Linked DNA regions of Schizosaccharomyces pombe. Changing the gene in region 1 together with any one later gene gives a genetic interaction. Each region holds a gene or a part of one and is shown in the gene's direction. Other genes may lie near its edges.

The links.
Region 2: mutations in toe4 (region 1) and ppk29 together harm fitness less than expected from each alone (positive genetic interaction), as found in Schizosaccharomyces pombe (one large-scale study listed by BioGRID).
Region 3: mutations in toe4 (region 1) and set8 together harm fitness less than expected from each alone (positive genetic interaction), as found in Schizosaccharomyces pombe (one large-scale study listed by BioGRID).
Region 4: mutations in toe4 (region 1) and dep1 together harm fitness more than expected from each alone (negative genetic interaction), as found in Schizosaccharomyces pombe (one large-scale study listed by BioGRID).

What each region holds. Positions count from the first base shown.
Region 1 is NC_003424.3:115,514-122,244, reverse strand, and holds toe4 (transcription factor), read left to right. Parts: upstream 1-2,011; 5' UTR 2,012-2,136; coding exon 2,137-4,050; 3' UTR 4,051-4,184; coding exon of another isoform or gene 4,185-5,552; 3' UTR 5,553-6,191; downstream 6,192-6,731. Other genes in the region: SPOM_SPAC11D3.08C (amino-acid permease), read left to right, coding at 37-1,689; SPOM_SPAC11D3.06 (MatE family transporter), read right to left, coding at 4,185-5,552; mfs2 (MFS family membrane transporter), read right to left, coding at 6,525-6,731.
Region 2 is NC_003423.3:2,489,818-2,495,741, forward strand, and holds ppk29 (Ark1/Prk1 family protein kinase Ppk29), read left to right. Parts: upstream 1-2,028; 5' UTR 2,029-2,105; exon of another isoform or gene 2,106-2,143; 5' UTR 2,144-2,230; coding exon 2,231-2,330; intron 2,331-2,402; coding exon 2,403-2,536; intron 2,537-2,575; coding exon 2,576-4,960; 3' UTR 4,961-5,401; downstream 5,402-5,924. Other genes in the region: pim1 (RCC1 family Ran GEF), read right to left, coding at 1-230, 406-1,011; SPOM_SPBC557.05 (arrestin, meiosis specific), read left to right, coding at 5,407-5,921.
Region 3 is NC_003424.3:2,081,423-2,085,482, forward strand, and holds set8 (lysine methyltransferase Set8), read left to right. Parts: upstream 1-2,006; 5' UTR 2,007-2,096; coding exon 2,097-3,386; 3' UTR 3,387-3,519; downstream 3,520-4,060. Other genes in the region: AAA family ATPase Elf1, read right to left, coding at 1-1,025; pex13 (peroxin 13), read left to right, coding at 3,826-4,060.
Region 4 is NC_003423.3:3,798,666-3,802,966, reverse strand, and holds dep1 (Rpd3L histone deacetylase complex subunit, Sds3-like family protein Dep1), read left to right. Parts: upstream 1-1,817; 5' UTR 1,818-1,960; coding exon 1,961-3,436; 3' UTR 3,437-3,782; downstream 3,783-4,301. Other genes in the region: cqd1 (ABC1 kinase family protein ), read right to left, coding at 1-82, 138-770; vps1301 (lipid transfer protein), read left to right, coding at 4,264-4,285. UniProt on the Schizosaccharomyces pombe protein: Component of the RPD3C(L) histone deacetylase complex (HDAC) responsible for the deacetylation of lysine residues on the N-terminal part of the core histones (H2A, H2B, H3 and H4).

The sequences.
Region 1 (6,731 bases):
TCTGCTTGTAAGGACGACTCACATTCAGCATTTACAATGAGTGACATCGACAAAGAAAGCTTAAAACAAAATCAGAAGCAATGGGAAAATGAAGTTGAGTTGGGCGAAAGCAGAGAAGCTAATCAAGATGATGAGCTTCTGATGAGCCTTGGTTACAAACCAGAATTCACTAGAGAATTCTCTTACGTTAGCATTTTTGGTCAATCGTTTGGATCAATGGGTCTTTGTCCGGCTATGGCGGGTTCACTCATTTTCTCGATGAACTGTGGAGGAGGAGGCATGGTTTGGTCATGGATTATTGGATGTATATGTCTGATTCCAGTAAGTATATCATTGGGCGAACTGGCGTCTTCTATGCCTACTTCTGGAGGTCTTTATTTTTGGATTTTTACCCTAGCATCACCATCGTCAAGAGCATTTCTCTGCTGGGTTTGTGGTTACGTGTCAGTGCTTGGCTACGCTACGATTTATGCTTCAACAGTGTACTCTGCATCATCTATGGTACAGGCACTAGCTGTGATAGGTAGTCCTTCTTATTCACCTACAAAATATGAACAGTACGGAATTTACGCAGCGTTGCTTTTCGTGATTTCTGCCATGACTGCAATTCCCTCTCGTGTTATCGCGAAGGTGAACATCATTAATATTACCTTCCAATTCCTTGTATCCATTATTCTTATTATTGCCCTTGCCGCAGGATCTGACTCTACTACTAGAAATTCTGGAAGTTTTATATTCGGTGATTTTACAAATTATTCTGGATGGTCAAACATGGGATGGGCATTTATACTTTCATTCACTACTCCTGTGTGGGTTGTAAGCGGATTCGAATCTAGCGCCGCTGTTGCTGAAGAATCAACGAATGCTGCCAAAGCAGCTCCCTTTGCTATGATTTCCAGTCTTGGTGTGGCTACCATTCTTGGATGGTGCATCGTTATCACCGTTGTAGCTACTATGGGTCACGATTTTAATGCCATTCTAGGTTCCTCTTTAGGCCAGCCTGTAGCTCAAGTACTGGTTAACAATGTTGGAAATAAGGGAGCTTTAGGAATTTTCTCTTTGCTGGTCATTGCCCTTTGTTTGAACTGCATTTCGTTACTGATTGCTGCATCTAGAGAAGTATTTGCTTTCTGCAGAGACGGCGGGATTCCAGGAAGTAGATACTTACGTCTTTTGACTAAACAGAAAGTTCCCTTAAATGCAATTCTTTTAGTGCTACTCTATAGCCTTTTAGTCGGTCTACTAATTTTGGTTAATGTCACTGCCATTTCTTCTGTGTTTAATTTAGCAATTATTGCTCTTTATATCGCTTATTCCGGCCCTCTTATGTGTCGATTTGTGTACAATAAATTTCAACCTGGTGTTTTCTACGTTGGAAAATGGAGCAAACCAGCAGCCTTATGGTCATTAGTTTGGATGTGGTTTATGATTCTTATGCTTTTGTTTCCTCAATATCAAAAGCCCAACCAAGATGAGATGAATTGGGCTATAGTGGTCCTTGGATTTGTAATGGTCTTTTGCGTGGTGTATTATTATTTGCCAAAGATTGGTGGTAAAACTTTTTTTACAGGTCCAATACCTACTGTTCAACAGGAGAACGAGTACATATCTGGTGTTCCACTAAATGAACTATCTTTAAGCAGTTTACCTTTGCCAAAAGATTTTGACCAGAAGCAAATCACAGAGTAATTTAACCTGAGTGTTATACTTTTCTTAACTCTTCTTTTTGGCAACAGCTACGCTGTTTCATTGTATTTTTACTGTGCTTTTATAATTGTATGTTTATTAACAGTTCTTTTTTATTCTTTTGTTCCTAGTCTTAGTTAAATAGCTTAATATTGTTTTAATGTCTTTTAATGAATTAGTGGCTCTGTTATCATTATCAGTAATATAAGATTATATAAAATTTTTTTTATCTTTCGAGTACGTATACTTATCGTCTTGTCCAGATTTTCTTATCATCACTTCCCTTATAACCTATACTTAAGCACGACTTGAGTAGTGCTAAAATAAATCTGCAGATGTATATGCTTTTTAACAGTAAACTGCACCAAAGGCGGTAATGCTTGCTTACAATTGATACGCATTCAGCTAGAATTTAAGATAGTTGTTTAATTACTCTTTTCTTAACATAAGATGTCTCAAAATAAAGCATGTGATCTTTGCAGGTTGAAGAAGATTAAATGTAGTCGAGGGCAACCAAGATGTCAGACTTGTACTCTTTTTCAAGCGGACTGTCATTATTCTAATCGTGCTCGCCGTAAGAGACTTGTTCAAAGAAGCAAGGAGACGTTTGGGGGAATTACGTTACCCGTGTTTGATTATGCCGCTGGTATTAACGGCAATGAGCCAGAACCGAGTGATCACTCAATTCCAAATCAAGAAAATTTTGCATTAACTACTAATGGAACTATTAGTAAAAACATTGAAAAACCCGAGGATGGTGAAGAATCCGTTCAGAGACGCCTTAAATTGCTTGAAGAAAAAATCGATTTGTTGTTAGATATAGCTACTGAAACTTCAGAATTTAAACGTGAAAATAAGGCTATTGAATTACCTTCCTTGGTTACACAAATTAAAGATGCAGAATCGATTGTTATTAAACACAGACAAGGTAGCCCTGTCGACAATACACCTACTCGGATACTGAATGTGGAAAGCTTGTTCCCTCCACAGTTGCCGGACTGGGAGAAGGCATTCCATGACATTCCCAAGAAGGAAGTAGCCCATGAGTTAGTCACGTCTTACTTTCAGCATGTAAATTGGTGGTGGCCTACCTTCGTATATAATGATTTTATGTATGAGTTCGAACGTCTTTATGCGTTCGGGTTCCATAGCAATAATGCTTGGCTAATTTCTTTTTATTCTATTTTAGCATTAAGCAGCATTAGGAAAAGACTTGGTAACTCAAAGACGCTTGCAGAGTCTTTGTTTTCAACAGCTTGGGTTTTTGTTCAAAAGTCCGACTTTTTTCTTACTCCGAGCATTGACAAAGTTCAGGCTTTAATTGTCATGACACAGTACGCAGCTTACCTGTCTAGCTCTTCTTTATGTCGGACTTTGTGCGGCCAAGCCTGCCTCATGGCCCAACAATTAAACTTACATAGAAAGCAATCCACTGATGTGGAGCCTGAAAAGGCTGAATCGTGGAAAAGGATATTTTGGATGTGTTATATTCTCGATAAAAATATTTCTTTGATTTTTGGAACCCCTTCCGTTTTTAACGACAAGGATATTGATTGTAATTTGCCTGATAGCAAATATGAGCTTTTGTTTGGTGTACAATCTGGTGGTGATTTGATATTTGTTCCTACCGTATCGTTGACAATAATTCAGAGTGAAATACGAAATCGACTATACAGCGTGAAGTCACCTACGCAAATGGCAGCGAGAGAAAAAATCATCATACCAATACATCAAAAATTGAAAGCGTGGGAAGAAAACCTTCCTTCTGAAATAAAAATGTATCATGAAATGTTGCTAAACAACACTTTTTCTCCCACTATATCGCTTAGCGATCGGTTCGAATTTTTAACTTTCGCAGGTATGGAAGTTTACTTTTCTTACTTAAACACTTTAATTATATTACACAGACCTAGCTCGTCGACAGAGAATCGAAGGATTTGTATTAATGCAGCCCGTGAAGCAGTTCAATTGTTAAAAAATAGACTCAACATTGATCTCAGGGTCAATGTTAAAGCAGATCCGCTATGGATATTCCTATACTGTCCTTTTACACCTTTTTTAATAATATTTAATAACCTTGTTCACGAAACTGATACGGAAACGGACTCAGAAACATTACTTAACGATTTGGATCTTTTACATGTAATTTACGATTTTTTTATGGAAATGGAGCCAGTTAGTGACGTGGCTTTGGAACTTGTCAAAATTGCAGACAAACTTTTGCGGGTTGCTAAAGAAGTTTGCAGTGCCAAAAATAATGATGTTACGGATTCTACTTTTAAAGATATCGTTGAAGGTTTTGAACTTAACGACTTAAACAGTTGGGATTTTGACAGAGTAACCAATGTTATGAGGAATCTTTAAAAAAATATGAAAGTAACGTTGTTTTATTAATAATTTATTTGCTTTAATGTACATGGTGAACATCATTACCGGTTAACAATGAAGCTATTATCAAACTATTTTGCTTGATCAACTACATGCATCGACCCAAATGTCTAATTGAGTAGTGCAGTCAATTCAGAGGAGTCACCAAATCTTGAGATTGCCTTTCTTGATTGGGAAATCCAGTCAGTTGCCATTACAATTTTCAGTTCTAAAATTCCGACTATGGATAACGCTATTACCTGTCCAATCCAAAGACCGACAAGACCTTTGCCATGGAAGGCTAAATAAATTCCTAGAGGCAGAGCAAACAAATAGTAGGCAGTAATGTTAACTATAGCGCCAACCTTCTGTCTTCCCGTGCCTCTTAAAGCTCCTCCCATTGTACCATTCAAGGAATCTGATATTTGGAAAGCAGCTACTAAGGGCATTACAAGAGCAACCAGCTGAATGACATCTGGATCATTTGTGAAAATCCGTCCATAGATATTGCGTACGGCAATCATGGTAATCATGATAACGCTTCCTACTGCAACACCTACAATTGCTGCGACCTTAGCAGTTAGAGAAGCATTGTCAGGTAACCCAGCTCCGAGATAGTAGGCAACTCGATTAGAAGTAATTATTCCGAGACCGAAAGGAATTGTGTTAAGTAATTGATCTGTGGTCATAATTACTGATTGAGCGGCAAGTGGTACAGCACCAAGTTTACCAGCAACTAGTGCTACTATTTCAAAAGCCCACCATTCTGTTCCCACCATAACGATACCCAATAGTGATAACTTTACAAAAGGTCCAAAGTTCTCTAAGCATCGTTTATTCCAACCATTCCACGCCTCTGCCCCTTTTACGTATTTCGCATATTGAGTTAATAAAATGAATGAAAGCCAGTACGATAATCCAGTTGCCAATGGAGCGCCTTTTAAACCTAATCCATAATAATGGACAAGTAGAAAATTTAAGGCGACATTAAGAGGAGAGGTAACTAGAAGAATATAAGAACCAGCCCTAGTGATTTCTTGTGTTTGCAAAAACTTTTTTAGCAATTCAAAACATACATAACCTAGTCCGCCTGGGATAAGGTATCGTAAAAACTTTTGTGAAGCTTCAGCTAATTCAGGTGTTTGATGCAAGAAAATTAGGATGGGTTTAGAATACCACCAAACTAAACATATTGGCAGATATAGAATACTGAGCACGATGAAACCCGTTTGCAATAGAATTCCCAATTCTTGTTTTTTTCCGGCTCCCCAAAGGTTGGAGCCAAGTGTGTCAAAAGCAGTAGTTCCACCTAGAGCAATCAGCCAGCCTGTGCTCATCGCAAACATGTACGCAAAAGCAGCTACGGAAAGCTCGCTTGGTCCAAGGCGCCCGGTTACAATAACTGAACTAGTTTGCAAAGAGTTTTGCAAGGCATATCCAAGGATTACCGGAGCTGAATTTATCAAAAGGTATTTCACCTCTGTAAGTGGTCTACCCATAATAGTGCTTTCTCAGAGAAAATTTGGATATACGGTGTATTTTTTAATATAAATAAAGAGTACTTCTTAATGTCTGTTCACCGAAGGTTCAAATTTTCCTTTAATAAAAGTTTACTAAGCTTTTATCATATTGATTGAACGGATGGAACCATAAATTTATATCAGAGAACGCTTAGAAGCCGCACATTTAGGGCATAAAACTTCAGATGTCATGGCTAAACATTAGTATATCCGTGGAGATACGGAAATTTAGAAATACCCACGCAAAATATTTTTCGCTTAGCCAACAGACATTGGGAATTCTCGCCGAGTTTTTGCTAACTTAAATGATAGCAGTTAGCATATTTTGCCGGTGAAAATATTATTACCGTCTCACTCCGCTGGTTAAAAATAGTAGGTAACAAATCGGTTGCAGACTAAGAAGCTATTGACTCGCACGTTATTCTTAATTTGTTGAAATTAGTACAAAAATTTGAGCATGAAAGCGAATAAAGAGTACAAAAAATATTTTGTAATTTTACCTTGCATACTCATTGACTGTTAATAATTATAACACTTACCGATGGTGGTAAAATATATAGCAGAAAATAGCTTGGTGAATTTATTAGTCAATAATGATTTGAACAAACATTACAGAAAAAACGATTTGTAATTTCCCAAATAACTGTGTATAAGTATGAATCCAGTTGTTTGGCGTACGCATATATCATTCTCGGTTAATTTTGCTTTTCAAAAGTTTATATTTAGATTGCTGTGACTTTTAGAATGCAACACGAAATAACTTTAAATCTTTACGTTTTTATTAAAACTTTCTAAATTAGTTTATAAACATCCATTCGTTCTTTAAATAGAATAAGCACCAAAATTCATCTTTGCTTGCAATCACTCTCTTACTATATAGATATATGCATGATATGACAATTATAATCAACATTAAATAAACACAACAACAACAAATAATCACACTTGTTCTTACAATTTGTAAGCGTTTTTGCTCCACGCACGAATGCTCTTGCCAAAACGATAAAATATAAAAGGAATGGGAACCATCGCTACAGAAATAAAACCAAGCACACTAGTAGCCCAGTGATCTCCTAAATTAAGGTACATAGGCCTGGCCACCATACTTATGCCTCCACTGGCAGAATAGCGAACTAGAGTAGCTGCAGCTAAAGCGCT
Region 2 (5,924 bases), on another chromosome or scaffold:
TTTAAAGCTAACGGTTGAGGAGTCAAGCCTTGAAGTCGACGACGTTCTAACATACGTCTACCCAGTTGAAACTGTTGACCATTACCCCATGTATATACTTTTCCTGTGGTAGTCAAGGCAATAATATGGTCCGTCCCTGTAGCTAATTGACAAATTTCGGGAAGTCGCATCTGCGTCGGTTCAGCTGTACGTTTTTGAGAATCGCTATACCCTAATACACCATCGGAACACTAGTATGTTAGCAAACGAAAAATGATAAATTTATAAAGCCATTTGTTCCAAAAGGGCGAAGGGAAATGATACAATGAGTCAATAGACTATAAACAACACTGCAACGATAACAGCACCTGAATTTGGAATCAAAGATCAAATGATAATTTTTCACGGCCAAAACAAATTACTTACACGGAAAGTACCCCAAGTAAAGCAGCAGCCATTGTCCGTTATTGCTGCAGTGAGATTGTCGCTACATATAACTTTTGTAACGCGTAGATGAGATAAAGCACCTTCGACCTTAGAAGGAGTTCCCTCTAGTAAATCATTGTCAACTTTGTCTCCATTCTCATCCTTTTGATCCTTAGTAAGACGACCAAGGGCATAGTCATCATTAACTCCCCAGGTGTATACGCGACCGTCATGAGAAAGGGCTGCAGAATGCATGCCGCCAACAGCCAAATCGACTACTCCTACTTTATCTGTAGATAAAATAGGATTCAAACGAGGACGATAAACGACATCCATTTCTTCTTCGCCCATACCTAGCTCGTTCATGGAACCGCTTCCAAAGACGTAAACGTTCAATCGTTCCGTAGGTAGTTCAGGTATCTTATTAATTCGCTTTGCGCTTCCTGGGACACGAACGGGTTTGGGTAGAGAGCTGACCTTTGCACGTTTAACCGGCTTTTTGCCATTTTTCATCACATCTGATTCATCTAATTCTCTTTTTTCAACCCCATTTTTTGAGACCTCCTCTCTTTTAGTTGAGCTTCTAGTACTTCTATTAGAAGTCATTATGAGTTTTAGCTGGAAGGGTTAGCTTTGCTACTAACAATCGATTTGTAATTTAAAAAAGAACAAGATGTCATCGCGTATTCCATGCAACCATCACCAGACGCAAATCCAAGAATTACATTTACTTTTTGGTACCACTTACTATAGCTTGGGTTTAAAATATTACAAAAGACAAAAAACAACGATTTATGTCGTTTTTGTTTTCGCAGAGACGTTGTTTTCAAAACTCGAACAAGTCGTTCTGTATACGGATTCTCACTATTCAGTATACTGCGAATCGTTGTTATGTGCAGCTTGTAATTAAGCATTCGTTAATTACAACATAAGCTTCGTTTAGCAAAATAAGTTATTGACTTCAGTAAAAGTTCCCAGCTTGTATTTGTTCAAATGTGTGTAAGGTGAGCTACGAATTTTTATGAAATCCTTTCTTTTTTTTTAACTTCATTTGATTTATATAAATTCGTTTAATCACGTCGAATGTTGAAAATTTGAGACCTCTTCTTATCTGAGAAAGCGGTTTCATGTATAGCTAAACAAAGATCAAATTTAAAAAAAAAGCTCATTAGTCATAAGAAGTTACAGTAAGACTCGGAGTGTCCATCGTTCAGCAAGATCGTATGCGAGAATACGAACTCAAGCAACGCGATTTTAATCTCTTCATAAATTATTTTTATGAGGACCATATACTTTTTTCCCTCATGATTTAATATTTAGTTACAATGAACATAGTCGTTAGCAGTTTCTGTTTTCTTTATTCTTTTCTGGATTTATATGTCTGTGAATTTGCCATGTCATAAATTTGGGTAACGATGTTACTCAACTTGATTCTACAAGTTTGCCTGTGAACTTGAGTATACTGTAAAATTAATTTCTCTTCTTAATCAGCTCAAATTATTAAAAGTTGTAGTTGAAATTTTCAAAATACGGCAAGTTGTCTTGTGGGGGGCGGTTTTATCTATCGGTAATGGCTCAAAGGTTAACCCTATAGAAGGGACTTGTGGTGTTTGGTGACTGGCTCAGTACCTTGCCAACAGCAGAATTGGCATCCCTTGCTCATCTTGATCAAAACTGTGTAAATACAGCCTTTTCAAAGAGTAAGTTATTATAATAAATTTACAACTAACGTAGATAGGGCTTCGGATGCTGTCCCATTGAATTGCGAGAGTGTAAACAATAACCTCGCGACTTCAGCCAGTATTGAACAAAAAACCTCTCTAGGATGTCTGTTGCATCCTTTCTCACGGGCGAAAAGCTTCTAGCAGGATCCAAGTTTGTAATTGGAAAATACAATGTTACTATCGAAAAGTACATAGCCGAAGGTATAATTTTTGGGTTGGATGGATCGAGGAGTATTACAATGAAAGATTTATTTTACTAACATTTTTCATTAGGCGGCTTTTCTCATGTATATCTTGTTCAAACAAATTCCAAAACTGATGGATCACCGATAACTGCTGTTTTGAAACGCATGTATTCTCCAGACGAGAATGCCCTGCGTTTCGTGAAAACTGAAATCGAAACGATGGTATGTTAACGTTATTGATTTTTTTGTCTAACTTATTAGGAACTACTCAAATCCAATCCCCACGTGGTTTCGTATATCGACTCCTGCATATTTCCTCTCGAGAAAGCGGGTGTCAACACTGGATTTGAAATCCTGCTTTTGATGGAATACTGCGCTGGGGGTGGATTGATAGATTTTATGAATCAAAGGTTACAAACTCGGTTGTCAGAGCATGAAGTCTTAAAAATTATTTCAGATATTGTACAGGGTGTTGCTTCCTTACACTATCTGAGACCTCCTCTCATTCATCGCGATCTGAAAGTAGAAAATGTTTTGCTAAGCTTTAATACTTTTAAATTGTGCGATTTTGGAAGTGTGACTGAGCCAATGCATGCTGCTGAAAACTCTAGCGAAATTCAAGCATTAGAAAAAAGTATCAACACATTTACTACCTACCAATATCGTGCCCCTGAGATGATTAATTTGTATTCAGGCTTAGGAATTGATGAGAAAAGTGACATGTGGGCTTTAGGAGTCTTGTTATACAAACTCTGTTACTATACAACTCCTTTTGAAACACAAGGTCCTAACGCTATATTAACAGCTTCATATTCCTTCCCCCCATTTCCTCCTTATTCACATTCTCTTAAAAATGTCATCATCGCTTTACTTCAGCCGAATCCTTGTCTTCGTCCAAATATTTTTCAGTTGATGTGTGAGATATGTCGTCTTAGAGGGACGGCTTTACCTTTTAGGGATATATACAGTGGAAGAGAGTCGTCTTTTTATGATTTGCATAACCGGAAAATAATGTCTTTGCTTCGACAAACAACAACAACACCGTTTGCTGGAAACCAAGTCATGCCGACTCCACAGGTTCAGGGCTCAAGACCTCCCCCTCCTCCTCCTATGCCAGCTCCTATCTATAACGTACCAAATGTGCCGACTGTACCAACCGTTTCCCCTAATCCATTTTTGCAACCTACTTTCTCTGGCACTTCTCAAGCTAGTGCACATCCTTCTATCCACAGCCAATCCGCAACATTTAACAACACTCAAGATGTGAACAGACAGAGTGTTTCGTCTCCGAAGGTTGTTTCATCAAGTTCTGTAACTGGCTCAGGAGCTAGTGGTCGCAAAGTCTACACACCTCAAAGTAAGAATCCCTTCCCAATATCTCAGGGAGTCACGGGAACATCTTCAAAATTTTCTGCTAGCGAGGTTACAGAAGATAATGGTTCACCAAACGCCGGACTCGATGCCGATAACGTTGACGTTGAGGAAGTTGTTAACCAGCGTTATCCTGATCTAAATGAGTTGGAGTCACAGCTTACTAGTCATACTAATATTACGACTAGTTCTCATCATAACCCTAGGGAACAAGAGATAGCAAAATTGGCTGATGATGCATTCGCTAGTTTCCGTCAGACAGCTGGTACTTCAACCGCAAATAGTACTCATACCACTGGTACTCAGGATATATCTGCCTTTGATACAAATTTTTCGGAAGGGGTTGGTAGCGTAAGGTCTTCTTTTGATTTCCCTGATCGTCCAGTATCTAGACGACCTTCAAGCACTTCTAGGTCGTCTGTTAAAATTACTGGACCTTCGAGCCCCAATGCGCGTTCTATGGCTTATGAGCAACACTCCTTTAACCTTGATGATTTGAGTAATACTAATTTTGGTTCTAATAATTCTCTTAGACATGCCAAATCATTTTCCAAATATTATTCACCTTCTCATAAAGATTCGAACAAAACTTCCAGAAACACATCTAAAGAGGGGCTCCCCTCCAGTCCTACTATGCTCTATCGTACAACATCTAATACTAGAGGTGACTATATCGTTCAACGCACACAACAGTCTGCCAATCCTTTGACAAATATCGAACCCCAAGATATGTCAAACCTTAGTACTGATATTAATGCTTCTGACGTTGTTGCCGATTCAACCAACTCTATTCTTTATCCTACTTCGACCGCGTCTTCTGTTGCCAACACTATTGCCTCCGATGTTGACGACTTTGGAACTTTTAATGGTTTACAAAGAACCGTGAGTTTACATAGTGAGCGGGCAAGTCTTGACAAGAAGCGTCCTTCTTTTCATGACAAAAATCCGTACTTTAAATTTTCTCCAAGCAAGTATGTTGACGAAGGATTGGAAGGTGAAAGTGAATTAAGAGAGCGTGTACGAAGTTATGCTAACCGCTCAAGTTCAAGTTTCCATAATCCAGATTTAACAGACACAGAAATTCAAGAGACGTCTTTTAATAACGATTTGAGGCCTGTAGCTTCTATTCAAAGTGCAGAAACCTCCAGAAGCGTAAGTGATAGACCTGCAAATTTTCCAGAGGAATTAAACGACACGTTATTTGAGCAAAAATATCCGGGAATTGTTGATTACGAGGAACCCAATTCGAATGCAGAAAAGAACGTTAATATTTGAGTTATCAACCAGACTTTACCGACTTTAAACTAATTATATTTTTTTGCAATGATTTATTTCCTTATTATATATATAAATCCTTCATGCAAATTCGGTGTTGCCTTTGAAGAGTTTTAGATGGATGATTTTTTGATATGTACCGCTTGATGTCACGGCCTGTGCTTCAAGTCTTTGGAATTTTTACTCATGTTATTCTCTGTATCTATCGTTGTTCACTAGTTCTCCAGGAATTGGAGTTCCCTATACATAACTCGGATACATAGTAGCCAAAATTCTAATATCAGTTTTTCAATATAAATTCCATTTTTTGGATTATTGTAAAAGCTTTAGTTATTGACAAGTTATTATTTATTTTCAGCGCAGAGTTTTATGTTGTCAAAGCTCGTTATTCCAATCGTGGTTAAATAATCAGAACAAGTAAACAAACAAATACCCAACTAGATAACATGGATTTGTGGAAGAAAGGAAAGCGCTTCTTTCGATTTAGTAAAGAACCAGTAATTACATGTATTAATACTAGTTATGCTGGTAAAGAAATTATATTTGATTTAATTGCCAACCCGCAAATGGAAACTAAAGATGTCAATCTTACTTTGGATTTTGATGCACCAATTTTCCACCGAAAAGCAGGAATAGACGGGCTGCTAACACTAACTAATAAGTCAAAAGTAAACGAAATTCAGCTGATCAGTATCGAAGTCTTTATAATTGGAATATGTAAACACAAGTTTCATTCGTCAACAGTCTTCCTGTGTTTAGGAACTCACATCATGGAAGGGCAATACATTGTACCAGAAGAACTCTTAGATTATGCTAAAAAAAGGGGGAAAAACCGGATAATCAGTATTCCCAATCATTCAACAGTTGACATTCCATTTCAAGTCAATTTTCCTAAACACGTCGAAGTAGGACCTGGCCGACAAATCCATTCAAGGGTAAAGGTACAGTATTTTGCATACGCGTA
Region 3 (4,060 bases), 2.0 Mb from region 1:
TCAGAATTGTTTGCAGCCTTTGCAGCCTGAGCAGCTGCAGCCTTGTTTAGAGTAGTAAGTGCATGAGAAGCAAGGGCACGAACTTCAGGCATAGCAGCAGTTTGAGCAATACGCTCAACGTCCGGAATTAACTCAGGAAGAAAATCAGATGCCTCGGCAGGATCAGGAACCAGTTTACATAAGTTGTCAGTAATAATGACAGTCAACCGCAGCATAGACTGTGATCTCTGAGCTAATGCTCGCTTTAAGATAGGAACGAGCACAGCTAAAGCAACTGATTCAACTGTAGCTACAAATGTTGTAGCGCTTAAATCTTTAATACAAGCTTCCAGTGTTTCCGGATGAGCCATACAATCGACGAGCTTTGGTATATGAGGAATAATGTCGTTGTTTTCAACGACGGAACATAAGTTCAACATGCATGTAATAGCGGCACGAGAAATTTCCGGTTTCGTATCATGCATTCGTTCTTTAATACAAGGAATGAGAGCGGCCATGTAATCAGCAACAGCCTTGGGGGATGATGATGCAAGAGAGCCCAGTAATTGCAAAGCAGCCACTTTACTAGGCCATTTGATAGATGAATCGTCTAAGTAAGAAATCAAGCTTGGAATTAAGCGCGTTTCTACGGCTCCTGCAGGAAGACAATCCAAGAGGGCTTGGGCGGCCATTTTGGCGGCTTGTCTAACTACTTCACCACGATCCGAGAACGAATCCAAAATAGTAGGAAGATAAGGAAGGAATACAACTTCGGAAGGCGTACCCAAATTTTTAATAACAGTAGCAAAACCAATCATGGCAGCTTCACGATGGAATCCCGACTTCTTATTGCGAGCTGCACGTTCCAAGCCATCCAAAAACCCCGTAGTCTTCAAAGTGACTAAAGGGTTGTCATTTGAAAAAAGCTGGGCAATTTTTTTACCTACATCAGCACAGCTTTGAGAAGTTTCAGCATCCAACAATTCCTGCAATAATTTGAGGACATCGTCCTCTTCGTAACCCTGAATTAACACAGAGGATGTCATTTCTCTGCAATGCCGTTCCAAATCCCACAATTAACCCGATTAGGCCTTGCAATGTAGCTTGGTGGAGGACAACTATTGATATTGTGAGAATCCCTTTCATATACTAAATTTTAACCGCTCGCAAATTTATAATTTGCCTTACAGTTCCTTAAACGCCGACTATTGACAAATAGTACAGTCTCAGTATCGCTATAGCTTATTATAATATAATTACTTTAGTTCGCTATTTAGTACAGATGTTAAAAGTAAATAATATATCCTCAATATTCTGTCAAAAAAGATTTACTGAACGGACCACCTGCATTTGATGAATTAGTAAATAGAGATATTAATCCAATTAGTTCGTGAAACTCTGCTATAGTGGGCCCATCGGATCTGATGAATTTGACAGTGTAGACCTATTAGGTACCAGGTACTACCGTAGGGTATTGTACTTAATCAGCAAGAAGATACAATGATTTGATAACTTTTTAGAAAGCTTGTTTCTATATAAACCAACCAAAAAAGCTCTATAGGGATTTTTTACTACTACTCTGTTAAAATATTAGTCTGCGTCCTTATATTAATTTTAACCATAAAACGAAAAATTGGAGAAATAAATTGATTTCAATAGTTAACAGATTTCATGTAGATTCACATAATTTTGCCAATATATTTTTCCTCTGTTCTGCTCAGGTTACTAGTATATTAATAATACATAATTTAAGCTGTCACATACTACTTATTTATTTTGAGGTTCCAATATTTTATATTATTTTTCAACTAAACCGACAATCGTATTAGGCTAATGACCACTAGATATAATAAAATCATAAATTACTTATAGTACAAAAATCGGCTGCCGTTTGTGATGCAAGCGTCGTATTTTTGTTCATATAGGGTTGGGTTCGAGTTACCGAAAGTTAATGTCGCTTCGGTTGTTTCTCTAGGGACAGGGTATTTTCGTTGCTATTGACTTAGAAAAGTCGTGGAGTTATTAATAAACAACCAATAAATTTCAACTCGATTAAATACATTTTATTGTTAAGTTTTCCGTCGTTGTTTTGGCTTAAGACTGAGAAAATCAAGTCAATGGATATCAAATACAATGAGTTGGTCAACCAATTTGCGCCGGGAGCAAAACAAATTACTATAAAAAAAATACGAAAGAAAGGCAATGGAATTTTTTCTTTGAATAGGTATACTTCTGGAACTGTTCTTTTAGAGGTTCCACTTGAAAATATAATATGCCGCAAAACAGTTGAACAATTTCGAAATTCTTGTGATAAATTCGCTTCAATCGCAACGCTTGAGGAATGGAACGATATGAGTTTCAGAACTCAGGCTATGTTATTTCTTTGCTATTTATGGCTCGGTATTCAACCCCGAACCAACAAGTGGGATAAGTTTTTAACGGTTCTTCCTTTATCTATCAATACGCCTGCACAATGGCCCGAAAAAGAAGTCTACAGCCTCCAAGGCACTTCGATTTTTAATCCAGTTTGTGTCAAGAGAAAAATTTTACAACAAGAGTGGCTTTCATTAAACCAGCGGTATTCTGATTCCTGGCCTAGTAAAATAACACTCCCAAAATGGGTTCATGCTGATGCTTTGTTTCACAGTAGGTGCCTTGAAAGTCCCTTTAAAGATCCAGTTTTAGCTCCTGTGATTGATTTATGTAATCACTCCTCTAAGTCTAATGCAAAATGGTCATTTTCGGAAGATGCTATGCAGCTCTATCTTGACAAGGACATTGATGAAAATGAAGAAGTTACGATAAACTATGGAAGTGAAAAAGGTTCTGCTGAGTTTTTATTTTCTTATGGTTTTTTACCTGAACCTGAGGGCGATCGGATTACAAATGTTATGAAACTCTTGATTCCCGAGGATTCTAATGACTCGCTTGATCTTGCTAAAAGGAGATCTTGTAAAACTCCCCCCATGATTGAATTTGTTTCTGATTCATCTGGGGAATTATGGTGGCATGCTCCATTTCTTTTTTTTTCTGTACTTAATGTTGAAGACTTTACAAACTTCAAAATGGTGTGTGATGAATCAAAAGCTCAAACAGTTGACTGGGAATTTGAAGGTCAAAAATGCTCAGTTGAAGATTTGCCAAAGCTTGTACAATTATCTCCTAAAAGAGATTTGTATATTTTACGTGTTTTTTGTCTCGCTGAACAATTAGCGGATGCTGCCCTAAATACAAACATTGAGAATATGTACAATCCAACCGAACGACGTTCAGAATCGGTAGAGCTTTTAAAGCGTGAAAGTTTCTTACTTAAGAAAGTCCTTTTATATCTTAGAGACGTTATTTCAAAGCTCCTTAAGTCCAAAGTTGTGGTGGAATTCATCCATAGCCAGACCATTGAGTCATGAATCGACCATGCATAAAAAGTTATTTATTTAAAAAAAAAAAGAAAATATTTAGTATGTGATGAATACTCTACAAATCTCTTAATTTGGAATGACTAATCGTGTATAATAATATAATATCCGTAATATATCCATACCAAATAAATTAATCAGTAATTGTGAAAAAAATAAGTATCTATTTTGATTATGCTATTAAATATTAGGAAATTTTCAATTGTAGTATTGATACCAGTTTCCTGTATTCTAAGGCGTTAGTATTCAGATTGGACTACCATTAATACTATTTCGGACTATGTATTCTACCACACCGACAACTTTGACATAAAGCGACCTAGTTCCTATTTAATAGCTCGTGCAGCGTATTTACGAAGGACTCATCCTACAACTTTTTGATTTATTAGAATATTTGCCAAGGACGCATCTAGCTTATTGAGATTTAACTATGGAAACAAATCAAAATGAAAAAGGACCAAGTCTACCTTCTTATCCTGCTGGAGGAATTATGTCTGTAAGCAACTCAAATGCTGATACGAATCAAGGCGTTACTCAGCATCCCTTGGCAAATCGGATTGTTAATCCTAACTACTACAATATGGGATTCAATCCATACTCGGGTTTTAACTCCTTCATTCCTTCCTTTAATCCATTTGTCCCTTTGGAAACCAATTTACCAGGGA
Region 4 (4,301 bases), on another chromosome or scaffold:
TTACATGTGAATGTAATTTGGACAGTGTTTTACAGAAAGCAGGAGGAAACAAATCTGTCCGTGAAGCAGCCCATTGTCCCAACTGCAAAATAAAAAAATAATGTTAGTAACATGATAAGCGTAAATTCAAAACGTACCTTGATAAACGTTGCTCCTGCTCTTTCTAATTGAGTAACGAGGAAACGAAGCCAAATGGATACGGTTAAAGACGACAAAGATCGAAGATGCAGGAAAGAAATAAGAGCGATAAACGGTAAGGTAATAATAATTGGAGAGAAAATAATAAATAAATTAAATGACCTGAGGAGAATATTAAAAAATTGTTTTATTTTTCCAAAAATAGAACGAGGTCGATTGCTTCTCTCTTCTAATTCAAGTTCGTCAAAGGAGAAAATATTATTCTTTCGATTTTTGACTCTGTATAAAATCCATAATCCTCCGACCGTAAAAGGGAGGACAAGAAATGTAATCCTTAGTATCCTCCATTGCTTCTGGTCTTCACTTTTTTGTCGGGTTGTAAACTTTCTTGCAAATATAGGTTTGGGGAATAAAGATATATGCTTCAATCGATTAACCAGTACGTGCTTTTTTTTGTATGGTGACCAAACTGACTGTGTCCCGCATAACCTTTTCCATCTTGTGTTCTGCGAGTTAACGACAGGAATATAATTTCTTTGAATAATGAAAGCAAAACGAGAGTTTGCAGAAGGAATCATGCTTAGACTAAGTCCCGAACGTATGTGAGAATTCCAGTGAGAAAAACTAATCATGTTCACCAATTATTGACTTTCAGAAGAGCATTTCCTTATCAAGAATCAAAAAAATAAATAAACTAATTACAATGGGTATTTTCGATTGAAAACACTGGCAAACCTGATAAAGAAAATAGGAATTGTTCAATAAATGTGTATAGCAGCTACTAAAAGAGGTGTTTCAAAGAATTTAGGAAACCCTGTCAACCTTTAATATCTTGAAAATAAAGAATGCACCAGTTCAAAAATATTGCTCAAATTTACGTGTCACTAGTGTCTATTGGTGTCAACGTCGAATGACGCTGTCTACTTGTGACTGGGAGAAAGAAAAATAATAATTGTTAGCCAAAATGAAGACTGTAATAATAATCAATTCTTTCATTTTATAAATAAAATATTGACTAATTAATGCTCAGTTCCTATTTGGATTCTATAGAATTGAACTTACAGTATGATAAACTGGATATGATCATCTAGTACGTGAAGAAACATTTTTTTATTCATTATTACCAATAAAATGTAATTTATCAAAATTTCAAAGTTCTAATTGAAGGGAAGATTATTAAAATATAAAAAATGACTGATTATAGGAATCACATTTTTTTTCCTTATACACCTATAATCGGTAATATTCAAATAAGTTAAATAATCAGTTCATGGTAGTATTCTGCTGCCAAAGAGAGATAATTGTAAAATCGCTAGCAGTTGATAAAATAAAGTATAAATTGAAATTAAAATGGAATTGTTTGTACTGAATTAAAAAGCTTTACCATCATTACTTCAATTGCCGTTAACTCAGAGACTAGCATAGAGTTTATCTATAGAGACTCTTTGATTGATTTAATAAAAAGCCTTTGATCGACGATGGTTCATTCGCCAAGTTTCATTGATGAGTAACAGTTGACTGAGAATATTTCACCTAACCCATTCTTGATAAAAGTATAAATTGGAAGTGCTAATTTAGAACAAATTATTAAGTTCTTGGCTCAAAATTTTGAGATGTCCCTACAGGATGTGTAAAAGTTGAGTATGAATATTATTACTGATGCCCAGCTATCAAATGTCATCCTCTCCCCAACACTACCAATTCATTCGAAAACATACATATTGAATGAAAACACACGAAAATCAACGATACTGTTTTTTAGATTCTGACATTTGTAAATTACGAGAGGGTATTTTGAACGAAGTTGAAGAATTAATTCAGGATGACCGAAAATTTGCAGTCGGAATCAATTCCCCATGAAATACTCCCTAAGGAGCCTTTTGATTTACCAATGAACAACTTAAAAAGCTCTCCTAAAAATAAAGATTCAGAGAAACGAATAAATAATTCGATCGCTGAAAGTGAGCAGGTTGTTGATTCGGCTCTATCTAATCCAGAGACCAATGCTAATGAGGATATTATCGCACCTCAATTGCCTTCTCAAAATTCTGAAATCATTGAAAAAAACTCGCCAGTGAACAAACTGAACAGTTCCACGTCCCTCACAACTCATCAGTTAGCGTCACTTCCTAAATTAGAGGTAACAGATCATGATAATGTATCTGAGGCAGAAACTGTAGTCTTAAATGAAGATGAAGAGAAAGAAACATCTTTAGTTGGTTCGGTATCAGTCACTGAGGACTTAGGTGACTCAAGTGCAATTGGCAGAACCATACTGGTAAACAACTCTGTGGAACCTCAGATGGAAAACACAGCAAATATAACCATTGTTAGTCCTTCATTGAAGGAATCTGACTTTGAGTCTGAAGAAAAAGCTACCAATGACAACAATGGACTCATAGAGACTAACCACAACTCGAAACTTGAGGAGTCTTCTGAGCATGAGGAGGAAGAAGACGAAGAGTCGAATATTGAAAGAACCGAAGATTCTGACCACCAGATACCACAAAGAGGTGGAACTTTAGAAGCACCCAGAAAAGGTGGTCCTCGAAGTGGCGTTGGAAGTCGAAAGCGTAAACGTGCAACAGTTTCTCGAAAATGGTCTACTAACAGTGAGAGCAAAATAAAAAGGGTAGCTCTTGAGACCAGCCAAGAGGAATCCGATCGTGAGATTGCAGATCGTCGTTCCGCATCTGAACAGGCTCATGAAGCTGACGATGAAAAGGCTATAAAACGGAAAGAAGCGTTTGATGCTTTGCTAAATATAGAAACGGAGTTTACTTTTTTACGAAACCGTTTATATGGGAAGAAACTGTTAAAGCTGAACGAGCATGAGGAAATGATACAAAACGAAACCCATGAGCGTTTTAATGCCTGCATTGATCTTATAACAGAGCGGCGAGATGATCGTGTGCGTTTAGCTACTGAAAACCTCATGAAACAACTTGGGAATATAAAAAACGTAATGGACTATGTAACGAAACAGAGGAAGTATCAGTTACTGTTTGATAAAAGAAGAATACGACAAGCGCTTCTAACCAAAATTGCAACGAAGTGCTTTCAGCTTTTAAACAAACAAAAATCTGTTCACGATCCCACATATATTACTCAAAAAACCATGTCATATCGCCAAAGTGCCTTGTTACAGAAGCAACGAATTGAATATGAAGCTGCAGTTTTGTGTGAGCTTAATAGTTTTGCTGGGTTTCCGACAGCACCTATTATCGAAACAGCTTCTTTTGATGACATCCGCAACGACCTTTTAGAAATGGGATGCCTCAGTGAAAATCAAGACTAATTTCAAGCATCCTCATTCCCCGCGATAATTCCTAATTTCCTTCACGTTTTACTTCAATTTTGACACACAATTTCCTTTTTGGTACGGTGTCAAGAGTGTTTTTTTTTTTTCAGAGCCTAGTTAAAACTCTTGCCTTTCGTTATCTATTCTAATGTATTTTCTTTTTTTTTTTTTTTTTTTCTAAGCGATAATATAACACATTCGCTCTTCGTTTGTTTCATTTTCTTTAGAATTTACATATTCGGTTAATATTTTTAATTCAGTATTTGTTTCTGACTTAACTAATGAATTAATTTTACAGCGATTCTTTAAGTTTGTAACAGCTATCCGTCTTACTCATTTTGCCTTATAATAAATTTGCTTATGAACAATTAAGTATGTTTAAATTTGATAATAATCATGTGCTTCGCAATCAAAACTAGTTAAGCAAAGTATCCTACTTATCGTTCGATAAAGCTGACTTGTTGACGCATTCAATGGTGTGGCACTTAGCGCCGTAAACAAGTCCTATGTACATTTGAAGGATTTTAATTTAACTGATTTAATAAAAAAAAAAGATTTAGTTTGTTCAAATAAGTAAAGTAATACTCCTTTCACTTAGACTCAATCCGTTTGATGATAAAAAGGTGCGTTATACGGAAATGAAGTTTCCTCTTCTCATAATCGTTTTCTTTTTATATTGAATAATTTTGTTAAATGTATAAATGGAATAAAAAGATTTTCTTTTTCAACAAAACATTCCTCTATTCGCAATTGCATTGCTAACTTTCACCAAGTCGGATGCCAACTGCCTTTTACCTAATTTCAGTGTCAAAGAGCCAACAAACATGTTAGAAGGCCTAGTTGCCGGTATGAATTATACCTT